Canis lupus familiaris: one gene and its partners. The protein of the gene in region 2 purifies or fractionates together with the protein of the main gene of each other region. This does not show direct contact. Links are inferred from orthologs where the notes say so. Each region holds a gene or a part of one and is shown on either strand. Other genes may lie near its edges.

Region 1 (3,646 bases), on a different chromosome or scaffold from region 2:
TTTTGTTGGGATTGCCATTATTAGGAATGTCCCAAAAAGCAGCACTTTCACCAAAGAGATGGACAATCATGGCCCCAAAACTCAACTACTCTCTCCTGAGTGACCGTGTTCCTTCTGGGCAGCACACAGGAGGTGAGTCAGGAGTTAGCAAATGAATGGGGCTGGCGGGGGAAGCAGAGCTGGCCTCAGGACAAAGCCACCTCCACGAGAGGCATGCTCTCTAAAAAGCAAGGCCTGGACCAGACACAGAGGGCGTGAAGGTCAGACTGGCCAGGGTCTGAAGCCCAACTCTGCCTCCTGACAGCAGTGAGACCGTGGGCCAGTCAGTTCCCTTCTCTGAGCCCGTCTTCTCCTCTGGAAAATGCAGATGTTATAGTGTCTCCCTGCGGGGTTGTTTGAGAATTAAATGAGATTTTAGGCTCTGGGCCCAACCGACTGTGAGGGCTCGGTAAATAATAGTTACACTTGTCATTTTATTATTATCTGGATTTTCACACTGAGAGGCCTTGGGGGAAGTTGTGTGCTAGAGCAGCGTGTTTAATCCGAGTTCTTAGCACACTGGACCCAAGGTCCTCTGATGAGTGGCCCTGGGCCCATTCCTCCCAGTCTCTGGGCCTCCATCTGAGAGTGGGGGCCCAGGCCTACCTCTGGGGCACCTCCAGCACAATGTCTGGGGATCTGTACCTGCCACTTCATGAGTCTACCTGCAGTGTCCACAGCTACTACCACACACGTGTGCCAGGAATGAGTCTTTGCAGTCTCCGGAACATCCCCCTCCCCTCTCCCCAGCTAAAAGCCAGCACTTCCCCTTTCCTGACTTGGCCTGACCAGCCTGCAGGCCTGTGTCCCTGCAGGGCCTCCCACCCAGGAACTGTCCTTGCTCTCCCCTGAGAGGAGGAAAGTGGAGACAGTGGTGCCAAGTGAACACTGGGGCTTACATGACGGCACATGATGATTCCCCAGCTGAAGCCACGGGCTTAAGACTGTCTTGCCTGTCTCACACCAACCTCCCTGATTCCTCTGTGGCAGCAGGAACCAAGCAGAGGGTGCCTGCATTTTGTCAGGGTTTCATGGTGTTTGTTTTCAAGGACAGTTTTGCCATTTCTCCAGGGTTAGACAGGAGATCGTGAACAGGCCCAGAACATGCCAGACCTTGTGCTTCCAAGCACTCCCTCTGAGAGCTGAGGCTTCACGTCCCGCGGCTAAGCACTAACGTGTGGATGCACACTGGGCCAGCGTTCTCTCACAGTCCGCGGGTGGGTCCTATTATCCTCATCTCCACTTTACACTGAGGAGGACTAAGACTCACAGTGGAGCCACCTGGCCTGGACCACACAGCATCTTTGGGGAATCGGGATGCCCAGCCCCAAGCAGCTCTCGGCAAACAGGTGCCATGGTTTGCAGAGGTGTGGGGGAGCTCCACCTTTAAAACACAGCCCACTGGGGGCACCTGGGTGGCTCAGCAGTTGAATGTCTGCCTTTGGTTCAGGGCGTGATCCCGGGATCCTGGAATCAAGTCCCACATTGGGCTCCCCGCAGAGAGCCTGCTTCTCCCTCTGCCTCTGCCTCTCTCTGTGTGTCTCTCATGAATAAATACATAGAATCTTAAAAAAAAAAAAAAAAAAAATAGAGCCCACTGTTCAGCAGAGGCAACTGAGACTCATGGAGGTGAAGGGTTGTGGGGGAGCCCTGGGACCTTGAGCTGTCCTATGGGATGGACATCTCCCTGGTTCTCGACTGGGGACACCAGAGCCCCCCCAAGGGGACCATGGTTTCCTCTGGGGGCAGAGGCAAGGCCTTACCCATCCACACCTCTCCGAAACAGCCCTGGCCCAGTTTGACCTCCAGCCGCAGAGACTCCCGAGGGATCTCCCAGGCATCCTTGGCCAGCCCCTGAGTCTGTGGCTTGGATGTGGGGCACACGGTGGTGAGGCGGTGGCACAGGCCATCGGCATGTTCTGAAGACAGAGGCAGGGAGGTAGAGTTCAGGCAGGGGGTCTGCCCTGGGACCTCCCCGTCCCACGGTCTGATATACACATGGTACACACACAGGCTTTGGGGACACAAAGGATGCCCTTGAGGCCAGGGATCCACACCTGAGTGTCCACACCCTCACCCCACACAGGCCCACACTGCCTCATGCACATGCTCACCGAATTATTCATTCATTCATTCAGCAGACTTTAAAGGGTGGCCACCCCGGTCAGTGGCAAGGACACAGTGCCGGACAAGCCCAGTGGAATCCTGCCCTTGGGGAGCTCACAGTGCCAAGTGAGCCCCACCTCCCTTAATCACCTCCCGGCCACAAGTGTGACGGAGGAGAGCCATGGGTGCCACAGCAGATGGGTTGGATGGAGTCTGGGAAGGCTTCCCTGAGGAAGTGGCCCCTGAGCTTGGGTCTGCAGGACAGTGAGTGGTTGACTAAGGCCCACCACTCCAAACAGCAGGTTTGCACTACGCATGCACATGCAGAGGCCCTGGGAGAGGAACAAGCCTCTGGTTGCACGAACTGAAAGGAGGCCAGAGGCACTGCAAGAGAGTGAACGGGGGCAAGGGGCCCCAGGTAAGGCAGGGAGGCCAGCCCGGTTTAGAGCAGCCACTTGGGGGTCTCTATCCTGAGATCGATTTTGCTGTGGGGGAACAGTGTGCAGAATGAACTGCAGAATGAGAGCCAAGGAGACAGAGGGGTGGCAGATGGTAGAGGGTGTCAGGCGGCCCAGCAGAAGGAGAGGAGGGTGGCACAGGATGGGCACGAACTGGCACTCTCAAGTTAGGCCATACCTGCACACAGAGTCCACGGCCACACACACAGGCACCAACAGAGACCCACCCACCTGAGTACACACAGACCCTTGAGCCTTCGGTGTCCCCAGGGAAGCCCCGAAATGTGCAGACACTGCATGCATGCTCCCCCCCATGACCTGCGCGCACGCGTGTGTGTGTGTGTGTGTGTGTGTGTGTGTGTATGTGTGTGTGTGTACCTGAAGCCCTCGCCCTGGCTCCCTACGCAGCCACTTATGCTCCCTCCCACTCCCTCCTCCCTCTGTGGGCTATGGGCTGCAGCGGTCTAGCCGCCCCCTCCCCTCCCAGCAACCAGTTCAGACCGGTCCTAGGGCTGCAGAGACAAACGACACCAGCCTCAGCCCCCCTCCCTTCCCTGCTCCCCTCTAGGCAGTGCCCTCCTCTCCAGCCAGCTGCAGAGGGGGAGAAAGAGGGGGGATGGGCCTGGTGGGAGGAGGGCACGGGAGGATCCAGGACGAAAAAGGGGGGGAGGAAAGGAGGGGGAAGAGGGAAGGGAGAGGAGGGGCAGGGGGACAAAGGAGCTCCACACTCCCAGGGTAACAAGAGCCCCAGCCCCGGGTTGGCCCCAAAGGCCCCCCCTCCCAGCATCCGCTCTGCTGGCCCTCACTGGAGTAGTAGGCCACCAGCTGCTGCAGGCTGTTGAACTGTGTGCGCGAGGTGATGTAGAAGCCACCACTGTCGAGCTTGCGGATCTTGTAGTGCTTCACATTGAGGCCCTTGGCGTTGTCGAAATCCGACACAGAGAGGCAGTAGGCGCCTGCAAGGTGGGACCAGAGAGGAGCAGTGACCCCATGCCCAACACCCCCCCCCCCCCCCAGGCCACAGCACTCAGTGAGGTTCTGTG
Region 2 (3,646 bases):
CCCCTCTGCATTTAACAAAGCCTTCTTGGGACTTGGAACACACACACACACACACACACACACACACACACACTTTACTAGCCCTTATATTTTGGACCACAGTAAGAATCCTTGGATTATGAGCAGTACATTGAATATATGCATGAAATGAGAGTATTTAACTTAGTTCATATTTTATTTTTAAGAAATCTCTATACCCAACATGGGGTTCAAACTCACAACCCCAAGATCAAGAGTCACTGAGCCACCCAGGTTCCCAAACTTCAGAGAATTTTAAAGCAAATCTCAGACATCAAAAGGTTTCTCCTGTAAATACCTTAGCACGTATCTTATATAGAAAAGGTTAAAAAAAAAAAAAAAAAAAAAACAGAATGCCACTAACACATCCTGCAAAAATAACAATAGTTACTTAATGTCATTTTAATGCCACATCCATGTTCAAGTATCTCTAATTGACTCAAAGGTGTTTTTATAGTTGGATTGTTGAGTCCATATGTAAGTGTAGTCTACACATTACAATTGGTTCATTTTCCTCTCAGTACTCTCTTAATCGACAGCAGCCCCCCCACCCTTTTGCCATTCATTCATGTCTTGAAGAAACAGTACCATTTGTCATATAGTTTCCACATTCTGTATTTGGCTGACTGCTTCCTGTGGCATTTAAGTTTCTTCATTCTCTGCATTTCTTCGAAATCAGATCCTAACACTTGACTACATTCTGTCCCAACTTTTGTTTCCTCCAAAAAAAAAATTTCCTTAGTGTACTCTGTGCATGCTACTGAATCACATCAAGTGGCACATCATGTCATGTTGTGTTGTCCCTGCCTTTTGTTTTTTTAGTAAATGTTAAAAACTAGGGGTACCTAGGTGATTCAGTTGCTTAAGCATCTGCCTTTAGCTGAGGTCATGATATCAGGGTCATGGGATTGGGGCTCACATCAGGGCTCCTTGCTCAGCAGGGAGCCTGTTTCTTCCTCTCCCTCACTCCCACACATCTCCCACCCCAACTCCCATTCCTGCTCATGTTCTCTCCCTCTCTCAAATAAATTAAAAAATTAAAAAAAAAAAATATGTTGAAAACAATCAAAAGGCTTGGAGGTTATCAGCCTCCATTTAAAAATTCCCCATCATCCCTGACCTAATCATTCAATTCTAGCAGGCTTAAGCTCACTACCTGCACCCTTTATATAGTTCTCCTGTACAGGGCACATATGTGGTCTAAAGGTATTCAAGAGCTCTTTTGCTCAGGACAGAATCAGCATAAAAAATTCCCAGAATAATCTTAAAAGCTGAAGTCCCACTTAAACTTTTGTTTTTTTTTTTTAAGATTTATTTATTCATGAAAGACACAGAAAGAGAGGCAGAGACGCAGGCAGAGGGAGGAGAAGCAGTCTCCATGCAAGGAGACTAATGTGGGACTTGATCCCAGATCCCAGGATCATGCCCTACAGCTGAAGGCAGATGCTCAACTGCTGAGCCACCTAGGTGCCCCACTTAAACTCTTTTTGAAGTTGGAAGTTTCACAAGTCAAAAGTACTAATGCTAAAACACAAACACATCCCAAAACAAGAATATACTCAATTAGTAAGCAAGATGCTACTCCAGATTTGTAGAATGTTTTTTATAAATAGTTCAGTATTACAGTTTCCTCTAAAGTAGATGTGAACAGGCAGGAACTTCTCTGAGAAGAAGAAGTGGGCACATTGGACAAGCTCTGTTCTCCCGGGAAATCACGTTACAAATCACAAGACACAGGTTTCATGTTTGGATTTGTGCTTGCTCAAATAGTTTTTTCCTACTCAAATCCAGCCCTCAAAAGATTAAGGACCTTCTCTGTCTTACATGGTCATGGGGTGTTGCTCTTGGTTTGCACATGTGTTTGCACATGGGTATGATTTAGATTACAGAGGTGCCTTCCAGTTTAAAAGGAGAAGAAATAGTGAGCTTCTTATAATACAACACCTCGTATGTAATTGAAAACCACCCTTCAGCTACACTGCATGAACTTCGAGAAGCAACACAGTAGAATGGCTGGCTGTGGAGGGAATGGAAAAGGTGTGGGGAATGGGAGTTTAAAAAAAAAAAAAAAAAAGGCAAGCCAAACAAGAGAAGGGTCTTGCACAGACCAACGATGATAAAATACTAAGAACTAAGTATTTTATACACATACACACACAACTCCCCAGTTCCTGCTAGTCTGTTGAAAAATCTCCCTACTTACGTTATCCTCTGTTCCATATATGTATCTGGATCCTCGGCGGTGTAGGATGTGATTTCCTGGCCCACACCAAAGTCTTCAGGGATTGACACTACCTTTGGGCAAGGGATGAAGATGGGGGCTTCATTCACATCTTCCACGTCCACAGTGACAGTGGCTGTGGAGGTGGAGAGGATGACCTCAAACGGGGTCACGTTCACCACAGTCACGTACAAGACATACTGCTGCTTGTCCTCAAAATCCAAGCCCTAAAGAGAACAGAAATGAGTTAAAAGAACCTATTTTATGTTAGCTTAGGAAAAAAAAAAAAAAGATTAAATCCTTAACTATTGTCGTTGGTTAACAATATCTTGTGGTTCTCAAACCTAGCTGTGCTAGGAAGAATTAACTTAAGAACTAGAGAAGAAAAGGGAGGCTTGCACCCTAATCCAGTAAATCGTAATTTCTGAGAGGGAGGCCCGGCCATGGATGTTTTTCAAAAGCTAACAAGCAACCACATTCAAGATGAGAACCCTAGCAGAAGAATAAAAACGAACTACATGAAACCTCACACAGCAAAACCCAGTAAGAAATGCTCATACTGGAAGTCATTTATTATCCAAGACCAGTAAGAATGTTCATATCTTATGCGACGTGTTGTCTCTGTGATAGCAGATGGACAGAAGACCCTGCTTGTCCAACTCACTAACCTCAGTTAAGTTTAGTGACAACACGCGGTTCCAATGAGGCGGCAAAAAGGTCAAACAAAGCCAGGGTGGGCCATTTCCTAGCCCTGTGGGTCTGTTTCCACATCCAAATACATAGGAAAAGGAAATACTAAATAGAGTCGCTGTAAGGAGTACACCGGGAACATTTGTGAATGAGTGTGTTTGGCGGGGGCTCATTTTCCTAGCTTCTATCTTTCATTTGTAGCATAGAAAATGGTGACATCAAATATTGGGTGGGAAATAAGGTTATGTAGTGAGTGATGCAGAAATGAATGGCTTTGCTCACTTGCTCAATAGGAAGTCTAAGTTTGGGGGCAAATTCAGTGATCTGCTGTTAGTAACCTCAACAAGAAGGTCACCCAACTTCTTAAATTTTCAGGTTTCAAAGTCATGTGTCCCACTTCTAAAATAATCCGGCAAAATGGCAGAGACCAGTAAACCATTTTTCCTCTCATTTGCAAAATGGATATGGGGGTAGACAAATGTTTCAGGGAGAAAGCCTTTTAAAACCGATGGTACTTTCTTTCTCCTCAATTTCAGGGGGCTGCGTAGGAGCTTCTCACATGTGCCTGAAGAGTAGTTGCAAACCCCAAATGGTCCACCAGAACCTGGGAAAGCTGCCCACCCCCAGCCTGCCAATGCCATGTTGATCTACTTCTGAGAAGACACCAGGGGACAAGGCAGTGGGCAGCTAGCTGAGATGTCAATACCTGCATCTTGC
Region 3 (3,746 bases), on a different chromosome or scaffold from region 2:
TGTGTTTGCTCTCCCATCCTTTCCCTCTGGGGTGCTCTCTTCTCATTCAAACCTGACCATTCTTTCTGGGCACAACTGGTTTCCACCTGCCTGGGGTGCTTTTCTGAATAACAGTGCCTAGGCTACCTAGAGTCTCCTGGGAGCCTCTCCCCACCAACTGCAGCCTATACCTCTGGAAGGTTGGGCTTGACATCTCCCAGAGTCTAGCTTCCCCTCTGTCCGCGCTCAGCATACAGGGGTGCCAGTGTGGAGTGTGTCTTAGGCACTTTTTCAACATTTATTGAACGTGTACACGAGTCAGGCACTGCTCTAAGCACCGGGAATGTGGCAGTATATGAGACAGAACTAGGTCCCTCCTCTCCGCCCTCTGACATTTTAGCCTGTTGCTGGTAGCTCAGCCTACAACATAGACAATAAGCACACACACGCACAAGGATGCCAACTAAGTGTATACACGTAATGGAATAGACAGTGGAGGGAGGAGGGAAGAGGTCCCCTTTGGATCAAAGGGGTCAGGGGAGGGATCCCCCAGGAGCTGAGATTCCAGCATAGGCCTGACTGTGAGAAGGCTCCAGCCATGTAAAGAACTTTCCAGAGGCCCCAGAGAGGCCCAGTCTGGCGCTTCTGCTCTTCTAAAGATAGAGGAGATGCAGCCGGTCCACAGCGTCTGTCACTTGACAGGAACTAAAGGCAGACAGAAGCCTAGGATCCCAGCAACTTCGGGGCTGTGTGTGTGTGTGTGGGGGGGGGGGGGGGGGAGGACCCTGCACCCTCCTTCTTCGTCTCCCAGCTGCAAACCTGGGGAAATAAAATCTCGCTTGGCCGGTATTCATGGGCCACCTGCCGGGGGCCAGGGGCCAGTTAAGCACTTTCCAGCTTTGTGACTTCACATACTCTACACGACAATCCCTCGTGATACTTACTATAAACTTTATTTTACAGCGGAAGGAAAAAAACAAAAAACAACCACCGAGGCTGCCCAATATGGATGCAACCTGTTCCGATCTGCGCGGGCCAGAAAGCGGAGTTCGGTTTCCTGGAGGCGGGAGGTCCGCGGTGGGGGTCGGGTGTGTGTGGGTTCGGGGCGCACCTGCTCCCCGGAGTTTGCCCGCCGCGCCCCGGCAGCGGCCCTGGGCCCCGCCCGGGTCTCGGCGGGGCCTCCGGGCAAGGGGCGCGCGGCGGGGCGGGGGCGGGGACGGGGACGGGGACCGGGACGGGGACAAAGGCCGCGGCCGCCGCGCTCGGGTCGGGCCGAGTCCCGCGGCCGTGCAGGCGCTCGGGGCTCCCGGGACCAAGCCGCGCGCCGCGATGGAGCGCCCCGGGGCGCCGCGGGGGCCCGCGCAGGCCGAGCCCGCCGCCCCGCCCCCTCCCCCCCCGCCCCCGCCCCCGCCCCCTCCCCCTCTCCCGGCGGCGGCGGCGGCGGCTCCGCGCTCGGCGAACATGGCGGCGGCGGTCGGGCGGGACACTTTACCTGAGCACTGGTCCTACGGCGTGTGCCGGGACGGCCGCGTCTTCTTCATCGAGTGCGGCGCGGGGGCGCGGGCGGGGGCGCGGGCGGGGGCGGGGGCGCGGCGGGGGCGCGGCGGCGGCGCTAACAGGTGCACCTCTCTCCGCAGCGACGAGCTCCGCCGCACCACCTGGCTGCACCCGCGCACCGGGGAGCCCGTCAACTCGGGCCACATGATCCGCTCAGGTGGGGGCCGGGCCGGCGGGGGCTGGGGGCTGGGGGCTGGGGGCGCCCGGGGGCTCCAGGTTGACCCGGCTCTCTTGCTTCCCGCAGACCTGCCCCGCGGCTGGGAGGAGGGCTTCACGGAGGAGGGCGCCAGCTACTTCATCGAGTGAGTGGCCCGCGCGCCGCGCCGCTTCCCGCCCGCACCTGTGCTGTGCGCGGGGTCCCCGCCGTCCCCGCCCGCGCGGCCCGAGAGGCTGGGCGCGCACAGAGCCGCGGCCGCGCCCCGCTGGGGTCCTGGGCGCGGGGTCCGGGCGGGGCCGCCGGCTGCCCCCCCCCCCCCAGCACCCCGGGTCCTGCACCCGGGCGGGATTCGGGCGCGGGGTTAGGGCCCCGGCGGCGGCGGCGCGGGCTGGGCCCGTGGAGCTAGGACTTGCGCCCGGGGTCCCGGACGGAGCGCGGCGGGGAGAGGCGCAGGGAACCCCCGGGAGAGGCCTCGGGCGTCCACCTGGTTCCTGGGGCGACGGTGCAGCGTCGGGACCGCGCCCCCTCCCCGCCTGGAGCGCGGGGTGCGGGGTGCGGGGTGCGGTGGGGGCGGGGAGGGAGCCCCTCAGCCCGAGGTGCTGCTCGGACCCCCGCGGCGCCCGGCGGGACGGTCACTCCTGCCCCCTGGAGCCGAGCGGCACTCGTTCAGGCAAAGCCCGCGGGCGTCGCGCCCCGCCGGTGGCCGCGGACCCGGGCGTGCGGAGCTGCGGCCCCGGGGCTAGGTTAGGGCCCCGCCCCGCCGCCCCCGCGCTCCGGCCCGAACTTTCCCGCGCGCGGCGGGTACCTGTTGTCTCGCTGGAGCACCCGGCCGGCGTGCTCGCCAGTCGACCCCCGGCAGTCGGAAGCTGCGCTTGGTCCTCAGCCCGGGGCCTGGCACAGAGTAGGCCCTCGGGAAATCCTCGTGTGCGGAATGAATGAACTAGCCAAGGGCTGCGGCTGGACGGTGGTCTGACAAGTAGCGTCACTTGGGGGGGAAGGGGGGGCTGCGAGTCCACCAGCTCGAAGCGCTGCTCGTCAGTAGTAGAGCAGCATAGTCGGAGCTTGATGGTCTCGGAAGATCCTGGATCCCCCCTCCCTACTTTGGGCTCTTGCAGGATGTTTGAAATCCTGGTGGATGAGATGTGTACAACTGAACACTAGGGCTCTGGCTGGGGTCCTGCCTCATGTCTGTGTTTGAGAGAGAAGTTGGGGAGCTGGTGAAGACCTCAGAGCCCCTCAGTCATGGGCCTGGCTGGTCATAACTGCATTTATTAATATTTATTAGATTTCTCCTCGTGTGCCACACATTATTCTAAGCATTGGAACCACAGAAGTGAGTAAGGCAGACAAGGTCTGGATGCTCAGGGGGCTTGCAGTCTAGTGGGGAGAGGGAGCAGAAAATAAGTTAAAAACCAAGAATAGGATCCCTGCGTGGCGCAGCGGTTTGGCTCCTGCCTTTGGCCCGGGGCGCGATCCTGGAGACTCAGAATCGAATCCCACGTCGGGCTCCCGGTGCATGGAGCCTGCTTCTCCCTCTGCCTGTGTCTCTGCCTCTCTCTCTCTCTGTGTGTGTGACTATCATAAATAAATAAAAATTTATTTAAAACAAAACAAAACAAGAATAGGGCAGCCCCATGGCTCAGCGGTTTAGCGCCGCCTTTAGCCCAGGGCGTGATCCTGGAGACCCAGGATCCAGTCCCACGTCCAGCTTCCTGCATGGAGTCTGCTTCTCCCTTTGCCTGTGTCTGTGCCTCTCTTCTCTCTCTCTCTGTGTCTCTCGTAAATAAATAAATAAAATCTTAAAAAAAAAAAAGAATAATGTCAATGGTGACTACTGTGCAGAAAATTAAAATAACGTAGTGTGATATCAAGTGACTGAGTAGTGGTGTTGGATTGAGAGGTCAGTAGTGGTGTTTCTCAATAGGTGACATTTATGGTAAAATTTGAATGACAGGGAAGAGCCATCTTTGTGTTGATGAGACGGCAAAGCATTTCTGGAGGAGACCAGCCAGGGCAAGGGCTTCAAGGCAGAAAGAGCTTCAAGTTCAAAGAA

Evidence for each region.
Region 1: the proteins of CDH1 (region 2) and SRC purify together in Homo sapiens (affinity purification with western blotting; 5 studies listed by BioGRID and IntAct, with this or other methods). This does not show direct contact. The link is inferred for Canis lupus familiaris from reciprocal best matches to the Homo sapiens genes CDH1 and SRC.
Region 3: the proteins of CDH1 (region 2) and PLEKHA7 purify together in Homo sapiens (co-immunoprecipitation; 3 studies listed by BioGRID and IntAct, with this or other methods). This does not show direct contact. The link is inferred for Canis lupus familiaris from reciprocal best matches to the Homo sapiens genes CDH1 and PLEKHA7.

What each region holds. Positions count from the first base shown.
Region 1 is NC_049245.1:26,580,064-26,583,709, reverse strand, and holds part of SRC (proto-oncogene tyrosine-protein kinase Src), read right to left. Parts: intron 3,560-3,646; coding exon 3,410-3,559; intron 1,959-3,409; coding exon 1,803-1,958; intron 1-1,802. UniProt on the Homo sapiens protein: Non-receptor protein tyrosine kinase which is activated following engagement of many different classes of cellular receptors including immune response receptors, integrins and other adhesion receptors, receptor protein tyrosine kinases, G protein-coupled receptors as well as cytokine receptors.
Region 2 is NC_049226.1:81,354,855-81,358,500, forward strand, and holds part of CDH1 (cadherin-1 precursor), read right to left. Parts: intron 2,467-3,646; coding exon 2,222-2,466; intron 1-2,221.
Region 3 is NC_049242.1:40,307,149-40,310,894, reverse strand, and holds the start of PLEKHA7 (pleckstrin homology domain-containing family A member 7), read left to right. Parts: upstream 1-1,387; 5' UTR 1,388-1,440; coding exon 1,441-1,523; exon of another isoform or gene 1,524-1,553; intron 1,554-1,616; coding exon 1,617-1,693; intron 1,694-1,780; coding exon 1,781-1,838; intron 1,839-3,746. UniProt on the Homo sapiens protein: Required for zonula adherens biogenesis and maintenance. Acts via its interaction with CAMSAP3, which anchors microtubules at their minus-ends to zonula adherens, leading to the recruitment of KIFC3 kinesin to the junctional site.